2 linked regions of the Arabidopsis thaliana genome follow. The main gene of each other region encodes a partner of the protein of the gene in region 2 in a complex. Each region holds a gene or a part of one and is shown on either strand. Other genes may lie near its edges.

Region 1 (3,600 bases), 9.0 Mb from region 2:
CTTTCCTACCACTTGTCACGCAACTTCCTTCTCCACACTCCACCTACTACTATATATTTACACACACTTTCATTACTTCTTCTTCAGCAATTAAACAATTTCTTCACTGCAATTCACAAGCAACCTTCAAACTAAAACTCGAGAGACAAGAAATCCTCAGAATCTTTAACTTAATGGCGCTCGAGGCTCTTACATCACCAAGATTAGCTTCTCCGATTCCTCCTTTGTTCGAAGATTCTTCAGTCTTCCATGGAGTCGAGCACTGGACAAAGGGTAAGCGATCTAAGAGATCAAGATCCGATTTCCACCACCAAAACCTCACTGAGGAAGAGTATCTAGCTTTTTGCCTCATGCTTCTCGCTCGCGACAACCGTCAGCCTCCTCCTCCTCCGGCGGTGGAGAAGTTGAGCTACAAGTGTAGCGTCTGCGACAAGACGTTCTCTTCTTACCAAGCTCTCGGTGGTCACAAGGCAAGCCACCGTAAGAACTTATCACAGACTCTCTCCGGCGGAGGAGATGATCATTCAACCTCGTCGGCGACAACCACATCCGCCGTGACTACTGGAAGTGGGAAATCACACGTTTGCACCATCTGTAACAAGTCTTTTCCTTCCGGTCAAGCTCTCGGCGGACACAAGCGGTGCCACTACGAAGGAAACAACAACATCAACACTAGTAGCGTGTCCAACTCCGAAGGTGCGGGGTCCACTAGCCACGTTAGCAGTAGCCACCGTGGGTTTGACCTCAACATCCCTCCGATCCCTGAATTCTCGATGGTCAACGGAGACGACGAAGTCATGAGCCCTATGCCGGCGAAGAAGCCTCGGTTTGACTTTCCGGTCAAACTTCAACTTTAAGGAAATTTACTTAGACGATAAGATTTCGTTTGTATACTGTTGAGAGTTGTGTAGGAATTTGTTGACTGTACATACCAAATTGGACTTTGACTGATTCCAATTCTTCTTGTTCTTTCATTTTAAAAATTATTAAACCGATTCTTTACCACATATTTTACAAACGCGTTGAGTCTTTTTTTTATCTGAATAAGCATAAAGTGACACCACTACAACTCTGTTTTTGGTTCTGTTTTTTTCAAAAAATTTATAACACAATTAAGCATAATCAAGAACGTTCTAGTTTCTACTACCATCCACATATTGTTCTTTCTTATATTTTGGAAAGCTCTAAGCAAATAAAAAGAGTTGTGATATCTTACGGAAGACTGCCAAAGAAAACTCAACTTTCATTTTTCTTTTACCAAAAGAATACCGTAACTTTCAATTGAAAAAAGCCTTTCTTGACGGGTCGTTTGTTTTCTTTAGTAGCACTGTTTAATTAACGTAGATAATCCCTTCTTTAATTTGGTGAATTATCTACGGGAAGTCCAAAACTCAATGGTCATAAACGTGTATCAAAATTCATCTAAAAGTTAATTAATTTTTTTTTGCAAAAGTCTGATGCTAATATGAATAACTGTTTAAGAACTCCAACATTATATTCAAGAAAAATAAATTTTGATATACAAGAACAAGCCCAGTTACCGAAAAGAAGAACAGAACGGCGCGCAGTGTTTTATCCAAAAGAAACAACTACCGAAAAGAAGATCAACAGAACGGCGCGCAGTGTTTTATCAAAAAGAAAAAACGACACGGTGTTCTCGCAGAATCTCCCTTTATATAAAAACTTGCGGAATTTGGAATCTTATTGGATACAACAAATCGTTTCCTTGAAAATTCCCTCTTCGTTTTGAGCTATTGACGTTTGGTACCGCGAGATTCCTCCATGGATCTCTCCATTGTCAAGCTCCTCGAAGAAGACGAAGAGGTTAGGTTTCGAATTTCCCACTCTCATTTTCATTTCCGTACTGTCTGCGAAAATCCACGCGCTATCTTGTTCTGTGGACGAAGCTCCTAAATGTCGATTCCCGCTAATCGTGTCGTTAGGTTGACTCTAAGCATTCGGAAGATGACTTGCAAATGTTTCAGGACTCTCTGATTCGAGATATTGAAGGTTCGTTTTGGACCCTAAAATTCATATGCGAAACTGTGGAATGTATCAAAACAGGGAAATGCCTTTAGATTTCTTTAGTGATTTAGGTTCACGAGTCGTATTTTTGTGGTTTGTCATGTATCTTCATGTTTCACTTGATGTTAACTGTTGAATGTTGATGGATGCAATTAGATTGTTAGTTCTTGATGATGCTTTAGTGACGGTTAGTCATAGAAAAATATTAGAGCATACTCATAATTGATTTTGGTGCTTGAACTCATGTGCCCCAAGGAAGTAACTTGAAGTCTATAAACAATACTACTGGTAATGAATCAGAAAAACCGCAACCTCGGTATATGAAACTGCAGAAGATGAGTAGCAAAGAGACTCCTTGGGTGGAAAAGACTGTTGACCCTGTGAATCATAATCTTAGATTAGCACGAGTTACTGATTTGCTTCGTACCGTGGTAGACCACCAACCCGGCAAAAAGACGCATTGTCTTAACCTGCATTATAAACTCAAGGTGTGGCTTTACAGTTTACATCCATGAATGAATTGGCACTCTGATCGAAGTTTCTTAATACATTACGTTTCTTTTCATACTTGATTGCAGAGAAAAGAACTTACAATGGAAGAGTTCATGCGACAACTGAGAGATCTTGTAGGTGATCAGATAATCAGATCGGTAATTAGCCAACTGCCTCAGTTAAAACCGGTATTACCCTTTCCATTTTCTTAGCATTTATAAGTACTTTAATGATTTTCATTTAGCAGCCTCCAAGAGAGTTTCTTGTTTTATATGCTTCCTTCTCTGTATATGAACATGTGCTGAGAAAGAAATCTCACTTCTGAACCTTATTAAAAAGGAAATAACATAAAGAATTCTCACTTTAATAGTATAAGCTGAATACTTCTTGTCTTGGAATTGTGGCTTACTGGTTTCAGAATGAACTGTATGTGTAACCAGGGAAATATGGGGATCAAAGTACCTGGACGCTCAAACCATGACAAAGTGTCTAAATCTGCTGGTATAACTTATTTAGTTGATGCCATTTACTTTTGCAATTATCATAGATCATCTTAACTTTCTGGTAGATCTTATCTTATGATTTCCTTGTAGCATACAAAACTAATCCCAGATACAATCATTAACTGCAGAATTCACTGCTCAAGAATCTGATCCTCGTGAAGTTCATGTTAACCAACTGTCTTCTACAACTTCAGGCACCTTAAACAGTTCAACTACTGTGCAGGGATTAAATAAGCATCCCGAGCAACACATGCAGCTTCCATCAAGTTCTTTTCATATGGATACCAAATCTGGAAGTCTTAATCCATACCCAGGGACAAATGTCACTTCTCCTGGTTCATCATCGAGAGCAAAGCTCCCTGATTTCCAGCATAGGGAAAACAATCAGAATGTGGGAATAGCCAGTGTTGGAGGACCAACCAAGTCTACAATAAACATGACGACAGTACCCAAGTTTGAGAGGCCAACTTTTGTAAATGGTCCAAGTAGGGTTCAGGATGGTCCTATATCCGACTTCCCAAAGAACTCATCCTTTCCTCTATATTCTGCTCCTTGGCAAGGATCAGTCACCAAGGACCAT
Region 2 (11,800 bases):
TTAGAGAAACAGAACTTCTCCGACATGCCTAGAAAAACAGAGCAGCAGTACAAAGTCGAGACGTTTGAGACGTCGATTAAGATTTCTCCGTTGTGGTAACAGAACCTTGAAACCAGCTCAAACCCATCTGGTCCTCCTGGAAAATCATTAATCTCGATAGTGATGATTCTCTTTTTCTTGTTTCTCTTCTTTTTGCTCTGTTTAATCATCTTCCTCAAGCTTCCAGAGTACTTTGAAATCACGTTCTAAAACAGAGCACATAGAGAATTAAGAACAGAGCATAATCAAGACTGTGGTTTTTTGAACTGAGTTTTAGGTTTGGTTCTTTACCTGATTGAGGAAGAATGTGTATTGGCCATTGAGATTGATCTTAAGATCGTTGAGAGGAGACATTTCATAGAACAACTAGGAAGCCTACTGAGGTCTTGTGACTTTGTGAGCTTTTTTCTGTTCTTCCTCTGTGTTTTTTTCTTGGATTGAATAGAGCAATAATTATAGTGGGCACATGTAAATGAGTGGATATATATAGTGTTTCATTTGGCTTTATTTACACCTGTAAAATGCACAAAAATATATAAACTGAATCTAAGTTTGAGAAATTAGAGGTAAGTAAGACAAAGTTTATGTTGAGCTAGTATAATAAAACCACATAAATTCCAAAGTCTCTCAAATTCCCATAAATTGATTTCTTTTGTTTGTCTTGTTATGTTGTTTTTAAAAGAATGCTGTAGAATTTTGATTCCTATATCTTTGAGAAGGATTGACTTTTAAGAAATTATGATAATTATTTTTCACTGTCAAGTATTCGGTTCATATTGTACATGAGCTTTTCAAACTCAAACATGAATATCAAAACTTCAAAGTGTTTGAAAGGTCACTAAAAAAATTAATACAGCATTACTAAACACAACATACAGTAAAACCTCTATAAATTAATAATGTTGGGACTACAAAATTTTATTAATTTAGAGAGGTTTTAATTTATCGATAAATTAATATTTATTAATTTATAGAGAGATTTTCCTAATTTAGTAACTTTTCAAAAAAAATTATAGGATTTTTTTCATTATAGAAAATATCTTTCAAGAATCAATTACAACTAAACAATAATATCATGTTTAGAAAACAACACCAAAAGTTTTTGATACAGTAAAATACGAGAACTAAATTTTAAATAAAAATAAATACAAATTTAAGCAAAAAAATATTAGAATTATATTTCAGAAAAATTCCTACATATAATGTATATATATAATTGATATATTTATACAATTATTAATTTATGATATTGATGGGACCATATATTTACATAGAACTTTCAAAAAAGTTATTATCTTATTAATTTATCGATTTGTGTCACTTTTTACACTGGTACAAATTCGGGATTGGAAAAATTTATTAATTTATAAAGGTTATTAATTTATCGACTATTAATTTATAGAAGTTTAACTGTATGTTATAAATATCATCATATACTGTACTTTGGTCACTCTTTCTATTAACTTCTTCTTTTTTTTTAAAAGAATTTGGAATTATGTCGTAGTGCATGTGAATAAGTGGGGTCTAGACGAAAAAGATTTTCCTGTTTTAAGTGCGAGTCCATGACGAGCTTTTTTCATCGTATTTCCCATATCCGACCATGTTTTTTTTTTTTTTTTTCACTGGAAAGATTATGTTTATTAATGATCCACAGAATACAGCCCAACAAAGGTCCACTTAGTTACATTTCTTTAAAGGAAGGATATCTCTTTAACAAAACACGATCGTATAACAAGACACGTGTTGCAAGAGAAGCGATGAAACGTTCCTGTCATCCTGTGCCGTCAAAGACTCCGATCCGGTGAACACAATCAACGTCGAAAAAGGGCAAACATCGATTTTTGTTTTTTTCTCACCGGAAACTGCTAAACAGAGAAGGGAGGATACACAAACAGAGAATTCAATTCCAAAATCATCAATCAAGAGATTTGGCAAAAACAGGTAATGAGGAAAGAAAAATCTGAGTATTCCTCAAATTTGATCGATCGAAGCTCCATAAACATGTAGAAACGGCTACAGGCAATCCCAATATGCTGGAAACAAAACTTCCTTTCATACTTGAGGTAATTCTGCAAATCAAACTTTCTAAAGATACAAATCCGAAAACTTAATCTTAGGCTATTATGACCTAAAATTAATCTCCAATTGAAATCTTTAGAAATTATTGAAAGAAAAACTGAAAAAGAAACTAAAGCAATCGGTAAGAACAACCGATCGAACGGCGGAGGAAGGATAAAAGCCGGCCAAAACCGCTTGTAAAAGCCGGATTTGCCAGAAGAGGACCGGCCATCTTTGCTAACAAAGCCAAAATTAATCTCCTTCATATCTTTTAGAGAGAGGAACTGTTGAATTCTGTCGACCGGATTATTCTGGTAAACTGCCGTCCCAAGTTTTGCCGACCATGTTTATGACAATGATATGACATTAATATATATCCCCACAAATAAGCTTAATTTTTTCTTATCCTATTATAGTTTCAGAAACTATATTGTCCACAAAAATCTTCTTGTTCTATTTTTTTTATTCCCATTAAAATCATACAGCGATGAAATGATTGGCGATGGAAAAAAAAACAAAGGGACAACTAAAAATAATACTACAAAAGACAAAATAATACTTAATACACGTCTAAATTAGCAATTGACGTCGCTAACCATGTTTTGCCATAATTACCAATTTTCGAAACGATAAACATGGAGTATTCTCAGAACATAATCAGACCAAAACAAGTGAAAAACAATAGCCATTGATTCAAACCAAAATGAGTTTCACTTCACACAATAAGTAAACAAAAGGCGAAGACATTGTAATGATACCGTTGTAAAAGTAAGTCGACAAAACAGATGAGAAACTAAACCCTAACACTTATGAGTAATCTCTCAGTTACGGTACCTGCTTCCACGTTCGCGACCGTAGTCTCTGTCTCTGTCCCGATCATGGTCATAGTCATAGTCACGCTCCTTGCCTCTTTCCCTCTCTCGGCTTCTGCTTCTGCGTCTATCCTTATCGTAGTGATGATCTCTACCACGGTCTCTTTGCCTGTCTCTGCTTCTCTCTCTTCCATCTTTATCAATACCTGCCACATTCATATAAATTATGAACAACTACATTGGATCATGACCTTTCTATTTTTGGGGAAGCAGCAATAAACATTCTTTTCTATCTTCCTCTATATCTATTCAGTGAAAAGAAGAAAACTCTAACAAGGAACAACACTGTTTATTGGAGATCCCCACTAGGCTTGGGCTATAGGCAAGTTAGCTGCAAGCTTAATGTAAAATTTCAAACAAATCCCTCCCCGCATATATGTTAAGTTTCACTCAAGTGTCTAGATGACAAGCAGAAACTTTCTTTGAAGACTATACACAGAGAGTAGATATAGATCGAGCCAAATAAATCTCTATTATAGTGGAAAGGTTCTGTTCATAAGCTCAACCTATTTGATGATTGCATAGATTTAGTTCATATTAGTTAAAATTAAACAGAACTTACCTAGTTCCTCGACTTCCCACCCAGCACGACCAGCAGCAACAGCAGGTCTGGTGTCAGCTTGGTTTGTTTTAACACGGTACTTCTTCTTTAGATTCCCAAACTCATCATACATTTCACCATCATCCTGAAATATATTAGACGTATAAGTCAAATGGAATATACAAAAAACTGAGAGCTCATCCGAATTGCAACAAAAAAACAAAAAACAAAGAACTCTTCAGGAAAAGCATATCTTACTTCTTCAGCCTCACGCCTGCGTCTCTTCGTTTCCTCTAATTCTTGTTCATCTAATTCCTTGTAACCACCACCACGGCCTCCCCTATTTAGAGAAAAAAAAATGAATAAGCACTGGTCTAGATAAAAACAACCTTCCAAACTCAAACCTTAATGTTTCTTAATGCAACTCTAATTTGGCCAAAATAAAACATTACAAGTGGGATAAATCAATTGTCGAAGAAAACAAGCACTCGTTCAAATTGCAGAAGAGAGTATTGAGACTTTTTCCCAGGTATCTATTAGGCCCTGTCTAAAAGCAGAATAAATATACCCTGCTGACAACAAAACTACAAACATCGAACAGAAAATCTACGACCTCTCCTACATTCACTGTAAAATCATTTATAATCCAAATCCTCAGCTCGAACATTGCAAGATAACAATACAAAGGCAATCTTATCACTGGCTTTGAGTCATACCTCACACCACCTTCATTCTGACCAGGTTTATTGGTGTTGCAGATATTACATTTTAGACGTTTCGCCCAGTTGACATTGCCACACCTGAAAGAATTAGCGCAAAAAGAAAAAGTGCATTATGCATAAGAACTCACATTCACACAGTGCAGCCTCTTAGTTAAGCTACTCGATGACACATAGCATAACTTGCAATTAAACTAAAACATAGTCCATTTTTTGTATCAGACACAGAAAATTGAAGGCAGCCTATCTTCACAAATATAACTTCTTAGAAGGATCAAGACTACAACCTACCCACGTTTCAAATTACATTTTTCAGATTAACAGCCATCTGAAGGAAAATTACGAAATTAGAATCAACATTCAAAAAAGAAGGAAAAAATATGTGCCTCCACACATAATTTGGACCAGTTTAAGAGACACAGCACAGCAGAGCGGGCCATCACTTCTTTCTAAGTAAAGAGTCAACTGACATCATCAAAAGCATTGATATACAAGCTATATTCCTTCCATACATAAGACAAATTAATTTTATATCCAGCAACGCTATATGCCATCTGAATGTTCTCTTTTGCTACTGAATATAAATTGTTTCTTGCGATGTGTTTTAATCAAGTACCAAACGCTCATTATCCTCTGAAACTGAACTAACTATTTCAAACCTAATCGGAATGCTTACATTGGACAAGCCCAATCATTTGGACCAAAGAGACCAGTAGGAGCACCACTGGGCTGCTTCCCCGGGGCCCCACCATCAGCGCCTCCACCTCGACCCCTTCCACGACCAGCACCCATGCTGCCACCAGATGCACCAGCTGGTCTAGCAGTTCCACAGCGGTTACAAACCCCACGGAATGCAAAATTCACATTTGTACAACTGCCAATGAAAGAGTATGAGAACACTACTGCTAGAAACTATAAAATATATAAAAACTAGCAAATTAACGGAAACAAGAGCTAGATGAAGCTCCTCACCGATATCACATCACAGACCTTGTATTAGGGCACATCCAGTCACCATCTTGCTGCCATGGCTTTGCCGAAGAATCAGCCTGACCCCTCCCCCTTCCAGCACCTCCATTTGTTTCCTCAGCACCTCCATCGAATTCAACAAACTCAACTGCATCACCAGCATTTTTATTCTTCGACTCGGCCATAAAAACTCCAATGGTGTTTCCATGAAAATCTTTGTTATTGAACCATTCAACAGCAGCCAAAGCAGCATGCGGATCCTCATAGGTAACAGTAGCATCTCCCTTGGGCTCATCAGTTTCTTTATCCCGGTACAGCCATACCTTAGGAGTACCAGTTCGTTTGTCTCTCTAAAAGCAATGTAGAAAAAAATGTAAGAAACTCGAAAATCTAGTGACCTATAAAAGATTGCAATGACGTCAAAACAAAAGCAACAATTAGTACCTGGCCAATACCATACCTTAAGCAACCCAATGGTCCCAAAATAGTCAGCCAACATATTCTCGTCAGTTCCTAAGGGGAGATTTGAAACGTAGACTGATCCATTAGTAGGATATCCAGCCATCGTAATCCAATTTCATCAAAAAGAAAGCCGCCAAGAATCTGTAAATGACAATACCAAAACTTCACTTAGCCAACATTGAAACCTCGCTAAGAAATAACATCGAGACATTGAAACCCCAAAGTTTTGAGCTCAAAAACCATGAGAACAAAAAGAAGATTCGAAATCTGACCAACGAGATAGGGAAACATAGAAGAGCGAGATAGATAGAAATCTGACCAGCGATGAGGATTCAGCGGCGAAGGAGAGGTCGTCGGACTAGGGTTTCTTTCTAAAGTGCGTCGAGTGAGAGAGAGAGAGAGAGATCTTGCGAATAAAGATTTTCTTAAGGGTAACCTCGATAGTCGATTGTTTGTTTGGTGGTTATATTTGCAATTTCATATAACTTTCCCCCTTAAATTGTAATTTTGTTTTTTTATTTTTTTCGTGGTTAAGGAATTCTTTTTTTGGGTGCAAATTGAGGAATTATTAATTTACAAATTAGATGAGTACCCGCACTACGTGCGGGTTTACGTATTACTATTTACTAATTGTTTTATATAATGTCTGTTTATATAAAGTAAAGTTGAATGCATAGGTTTTGAAACATAAATATGTTTTGTAATTGTTTTTGAAAAGTCCAACTATATTAGTTCATCTGAAAAACGAATGTGCTTGAGTTGTTTTTTATTGTTGTTTTAGATTCTTAGTTTTTTTTTGAATTTATATATCCTTGCTTTTTTAGTTATATGTATAGATTGTGAGACAGTGAAATTTTAGAAAAATTATTTCTTACACTAAAAATATAACATGTCTTTATTAATCATGTCTTTGCATATTCAATCTAAGCATATTCAACTCGATATTCTTAGAAAGTTTAGTTAAGTTCTTGTCATAATCTTATATCTTACGTATTAGTTATAAGGATAGCTCCTCAAATATCTTTCAAATTACCTGTTTTCTTAGCATAAATATCGAAAAGCTTAGATATATTTAATCTGCATATTCATTTAGTTTCTTTCATAATAATCGTCTAATTTTTAGGCCAGGAATATGTGTAACATGTTTGGATTTTATCATCACTTTAGCCACTTAAGTGGATCTCAAAATTAAAGAGGATATATTGAATTAAAAATGTAGAAAGAGTGATGGTTCAAGTTCTCATTAATTATATTCTCCTATTTTAGTTGTTATGTTGAATTAATTACTAATTATGTATTACTTATTTTATGAAGTCTAGGTGGCAAGCTCTCATGTGCTTATGTGTCAAGTTGTGGGAGAGAGTTAGTCTTCTTTCATATATATGATTTGTGTTTCAATGTTGAATCTATTTATAGCCAATAATATCTAATACTACTAATATTATACTACCAAAGTATTGGTCAATAAAAAAAAATACATTTGCATCTAACATATATTGACTAAATTAATAATTAAAAAAGTATTGACTCATACTACAGTAAAATATTTATATAATGCTATCTATTTTGTAAAGTTACTAGCATAAGCTTGTCATTTTTTAAAATCTGTCACTACTAATTTTACTATGACTAGGTAATCACCCGCGCTACGCTGCGGTATTTTTAAATTTTTTGTATCGTTTAATTTAAATATAATTTTTAATTATCTAATCATTTACTTATATAATAAGTAATTATTCTTAATATTAAAATATATTTTTTCTAACAACATTCTCAACAATGCATTATACACACAATTCCTAAACAATGTTCGTCTTAAACTAATTAAATAGAAGGTAATATTGGGATTCTCGAAACCTAAGAATTTGATGATTAAACTTCTTACATACTCTTCACCCTCGGCGATTTATTATATAGATATATAACAATATGCAAACTATTCAAACTATTAATTAATCCATGACTACTATACACTCATAATTTGAGTTAAGATTACAGAAAAAAATCTTTTGAGTATGAGAAAATCAATCAAATTATTTTATTGAAAAACATTTAATAACAAAATAAATTTAGTATTAGTACAATTAAATATGTAAAATTAAATAATAAATACATCATTAATCTATAAATTAAAAGTTGAAGAGCTTACATTAATTATTCAGTGGATACATGGCAAATGTTAAAGTGATGATGTGTCAATCATATGGAGAGAGTTGGCTAACTTTCATATATATAATTAGTAGATTAAAAACTCACTAAAGAATAGAACAAGTTTTCTTGTAATGAGTTTTCAGAGAAAAATCTTATTGCTGTAATTGACAAACCAGTGCAAATGGTTGACGTAATTGAAGAAATTAAAAGAGTTGAATAAACATTCAATCAATTTTTTACTATTTAAGTTGAAATAGTTGAAAAAATGATTCAATTGCACTCCTAACCCATTTAAATAAAACCCAAAAAAAACTTTATATTAGTAAATCTCATTAAAATAAAATTCTTACTACGTTTTGGTAATATATTCACATCTTATCATAAATAAAAAATGTTATATAAGATGACACTAATAAAAACAAATTTGGTATCAGATCATTATGTGTATTGGGAGTTATCAAAGGATCTCTTCACCCAAACGAAAAGTTTGGCGCCTCCGAGATTTAACAGATCAAAAATATTAAACTGCCATCCAAGTTTTAGATTTTGTGGCTAAAGTTGAGGATGAAGCAACTATCCATTTAAAAAAAAAAAAAAAGCAACTATCCATTCCACTACCGAGCGTACTTCCCAAAAAGAAGTAGATATATGGCAAGGTTCTCAAGGATGAACCTAAAAGGATGGATGAGTAGTTGGACATACACAATATGTTTTTTTTTTTGTGGATTAACCATGACATAGTTAACTATGATACATTTAAACATGAACTAATTAAGGAAAATTCCGTGCAAGGTTTAGTTGCCCCATAACTAAAAGCCCTCCAAACTCTTATAAAGAGCATGTCCAACGTTGGTGAAAAAATAAATTCTAAGATTCAAAGGTGAAAACAACAGCTAACTGGCATATATATGTATGACTGTTTGTCTTGGAAATAAAAGAAATTTTGATTTTAAATGCTATAATCAATTTATAGACAAAATTAGCTAAATGATGAATATGGTCGTTAAAGATTTTGGACCCAAAGTTTGAATGTGCACTGTTTGATCCTCATTCACTCTTGCTTAATAGCCATCAATTCATTTTGTGAATATAAGCAAAAAAGCCACTTGAGCTCTTGAGAAGAAGAAGTCGTGGTTCGGTTAATCAGGAGACAGCCGAGATAAAGAAAGTCTTCATGAGATTTAATGTGATGGTTAATTACGTAATGAAAGGGTGGCTGATAATTGTTCATGGCTGTTGCATCATGTCATGATCACTTGACATGTTTATTCTAAAGATTTCTTGTTCCATCACTTTTCATTTAGACTTATCAAGTACGTACGTAGTGATAAACTTAATTTGTAATATCTTTTCTCATGTTACAAACTCGGACTTCTGTCGTCCATGAGCCTGATATATATTTGATGACCAAGGCTTAGGATGTTGAACTGATCCAATCTTCATTCTCGGAGGTTTTGCTATGTGTTCTTCGTCCAGCTCATTGTTAATTACACCGAGATTGACATAATGACATGATTCAAAAATGGGAACGTTGTTGTTGTTGTTGTTTCTTTTTCAATTTGCATATATATATTACAGAGTTACAAAGATGAGAAATATCTTAAAACCTATTCTATTAGAGAACGTACGGTGTGTTCATAATGACAATGAACATTTTTGTCTACGTAGATATATTTACTTTGTTTTTTTCTTCATTTTCAATTATCTTTGTAACGTTCTCTCTCAAATTAGCTGGAACAACGATCTACAATGACGTGTATCTAATAATCAATCCTAAATATATGAACCAAACTAAACTAGAAATGAAATGTCTCCAAATAGACTATATTATATATACGTACTGAACGAAATCACAATTAGTTCACAGCTAAATGCGACTGTTATTATATTAATACAAGATCCTATTTTAGGGTTAGACTGTCTTTTTCAACATATCTCTTAGAGTCTTTATGTAATAAAAATTACAGAGAAATGAGCGGAAGTTGTCAGTAAAAAAACAAAAGAAACTGTCAAAAAAAGACAGTAAGATCTCCACTAAAACTGGGTTTGAAGAACATGAAAAAAATACCAAAACCACTTCACCTATTCATAAGCTAAGATAAATCTAAAACAGCTAATATCACAATCGATTCCTAATAATAGATAACGAAAATTCTTATATTTAAGGAGCTCACAAGCTCTTCAGTTTTGGATCATAAGCTCACTAGTTCTTGTTTGAATAACAAAGCAAAAGGCAATAATACTAACAATCAATAAGTGAAGAATAAATAATAATGGCTGGAGGAGCCTTTGTATCAGAAGGTGGTGGTGGAGGAAACAGCTATGAAGGCGGAGTCACCGTCTTTGTCATCATGACATGTATTGTGGCCGCTATGGGAGGTCTCCTCTTTGGTTATGACCTCGGTATCTCAGGTTCGTAAATTCCACATTCGCCTTTTTCTTCTTCGGGTTGAGTTATTTTGGTTCGCTTTCGCTGTCCACTCTAGCTTCGGGGAATGTAACGTGACTTCTTTTGTTGTATAGGTGGAGTGACATCTATGGAGGAGTTTCTGAGCAAGTTTTTCCCGGAGGTGGATAAGCAAATGCACGAAGCAAGGCGCGAGACTGCTTACTGCAAATTCGATAACCAATTGCTACAGTTGTTCACTTCCTCACTCTACCTCGCGGCACTCGCGTCTTCCTTTGTAGCTTCGGCTGTCACAAGGAAGTACGGACGCAAAATCTCCATGTTTGTTGGAGGGGTTGCTTTCCTCATAGGTTCTCTATTCAACGCATTTGCTACCAATGTCGCAATGCTCATCGTTGGTAGATTGTTGCTCGGAGTCGGTGTTGGATTTGCCAATCAGGTGAGTCAACAACTCAACATGGTCATGGTGTGTTTATTATGTGGTTTAGCTCAAGACATTCTGGTTCTGGACTCGGTTTGGTTCAAAAATTTCTCAATTTTTCAGAGTGGTTCCAATTTCCAAACTAGAATCAACTTACATCTAAGGTTCAGTTTTAAAATACAAATAAATAATTAATACTATCAAAATTTAGTTGCGGTTTATTTTGGTTTATTCGTTGCTGTTTGGTTGCACGATATTTGATTTGTTAGCTATAAAAATATTGTTAGCGCTTAGTATGAAATAAAGTAAGGTATATTTGGTTTCAGTATGGCTCATCCATCTTTAACTTTGTTTTTCCAGTCTACGCCTGTTTATCTCTCGGAGATGGCTCCAGCGAAGATCCGAGGAGCACTTAACATCGGGTTTCAAATGGCTATAACCATCGGGATTTTGATTGCAAACTTAATCAACTACGGAACATCTCAAATGGCTAAGAACGGATGGAGAGTATCATTGGGTTTAGCCGCTGTACCGGCAGTTATTATGGTTATTGGATCTTTTGTCTTGCCCGATACACCAAACTCGATGCTCGAGAGAGGCAAGTACGAACAAGCGAGAGAGATGTTGCAAAAGATTCGTGGAGCTGATAACGTAGATGAGGAGTTTCAAGATCTGTGTGATGCTTGTGAGGCTGCTAAGAAAGTGGATAATCCATGGAAGAACATTTTCCAACAGGCAAAATACAGACCCGCTCTTGTTTTCTGTTCTGCGATTCCTTTCTTCCAACAGATTACTGGTATCAATGTTATCATGTTCTACGCCCCCGTTCTCTTTAAGACTCTCGGTTTTGCGGATGATGCCTCGCTCATCTCAGCGGTTATTACGGGTGCGGTCAATGTTGTCTCTACCCTTGTCTCCATCTATGCGGTTGACAGGTACGGAAGAAGGATTCTCTTCCTTGAAGGAGGCATCCAAATGATTGTTTCCCAGGTAAAAATGCTAGTTCCGAGTTTGCGTATACATGTGGAAAAATGAAACGTTTTCAGTTCATAATGTATATAAATGATGATTGCGTACCTTACATATATTGTTTGATGGGTCATTTTGCAGATCGTTGTTGGTACCTTGATTGGTATGAAGTTTGGAACCACGGGATCAGGG

What was found. The genes of interacting proteins can lie anywhere in the genome.
Region 1: TAF15 (region 2) and TAF4B share a complex: the UniProt entries of both Arabidopsis thaliana proteins name them as parts of the TFIID complex.

The regions. Positions count from the first base shown.
Region 1 is NC_003070.9:9,645,559-9,649,158, reverse strand, and holds the start of TAF4B (TBP-associated factor 4B), read left to right. Parts: upstream 1-1,782; coding exon 1,783-1,824; intron 1,825-1,834; exon of another isoform or gene 1,835-1,943; coding exon 1,944-2,010; exon of another isoform or gene 2,011-2,280; coding exon 2,281-2,513; intron 2,514-2,603; coding exon 2,604-2,705; intron 2,706-2,957; coding exon 2,958-3,018; intron 3,019-3,148; coding exon 3,149-3,600. Other genes in the region: STZ (salt tolerance zinc finger), read left to right, coding at 174-857. UniProt on the Arabidopsis thaliana protein: TAFs are components of the transcription factor IID (TFIID) complex that is essential for mediating regulation of RNA polymerase transcription.
Region 2 is NC_003070.9:18,625,900-18,637,699, forward strand, and holds TAF15 (TBP-associated factor 15), read right to left. Parts: upstream 6,141-11,800; 5' UTR 5,980-6,140; intron 5,802-5,979; 5' UTR 5,764-5,801; coding exon 5,659-5,763; exon of another isoform or gene 5,643-5,658; intron 5,549-5,642; coding exon 5,220-5,548; intron 5,104-5,219; coding exon 4,906-5,103; intron 4,311-4,905; coding exon 4,227-4,310; intron 3,851-4,226; coding exon 3,769-3,850; intron 3,656-3,768; coding exon 3,532-3,655; intron 3,116-3,531; coding exon 2,919-3,115; 3' UTR 2,656-2,918; downstream 1-2,655. Other genes in the region: AT1G50280 (Phototropic-responsive NPH3 family protein), read right to left, coding at 1-245, 331-393; AT1G50290 (uncharacterized protein), read right to left, coding at 1,959-2,363; STP9 (sugar transporter 9), read left to right, coding at 10,085-10,223, 10,335-10,657, 11,000-11,629, 11,750-11,800. UniProt on the Arabidopsis thaliana protein: TAFs are components of the transcription factor IID (TFIID) complex that is essential for mediating regulation of RNA polymerase transcription.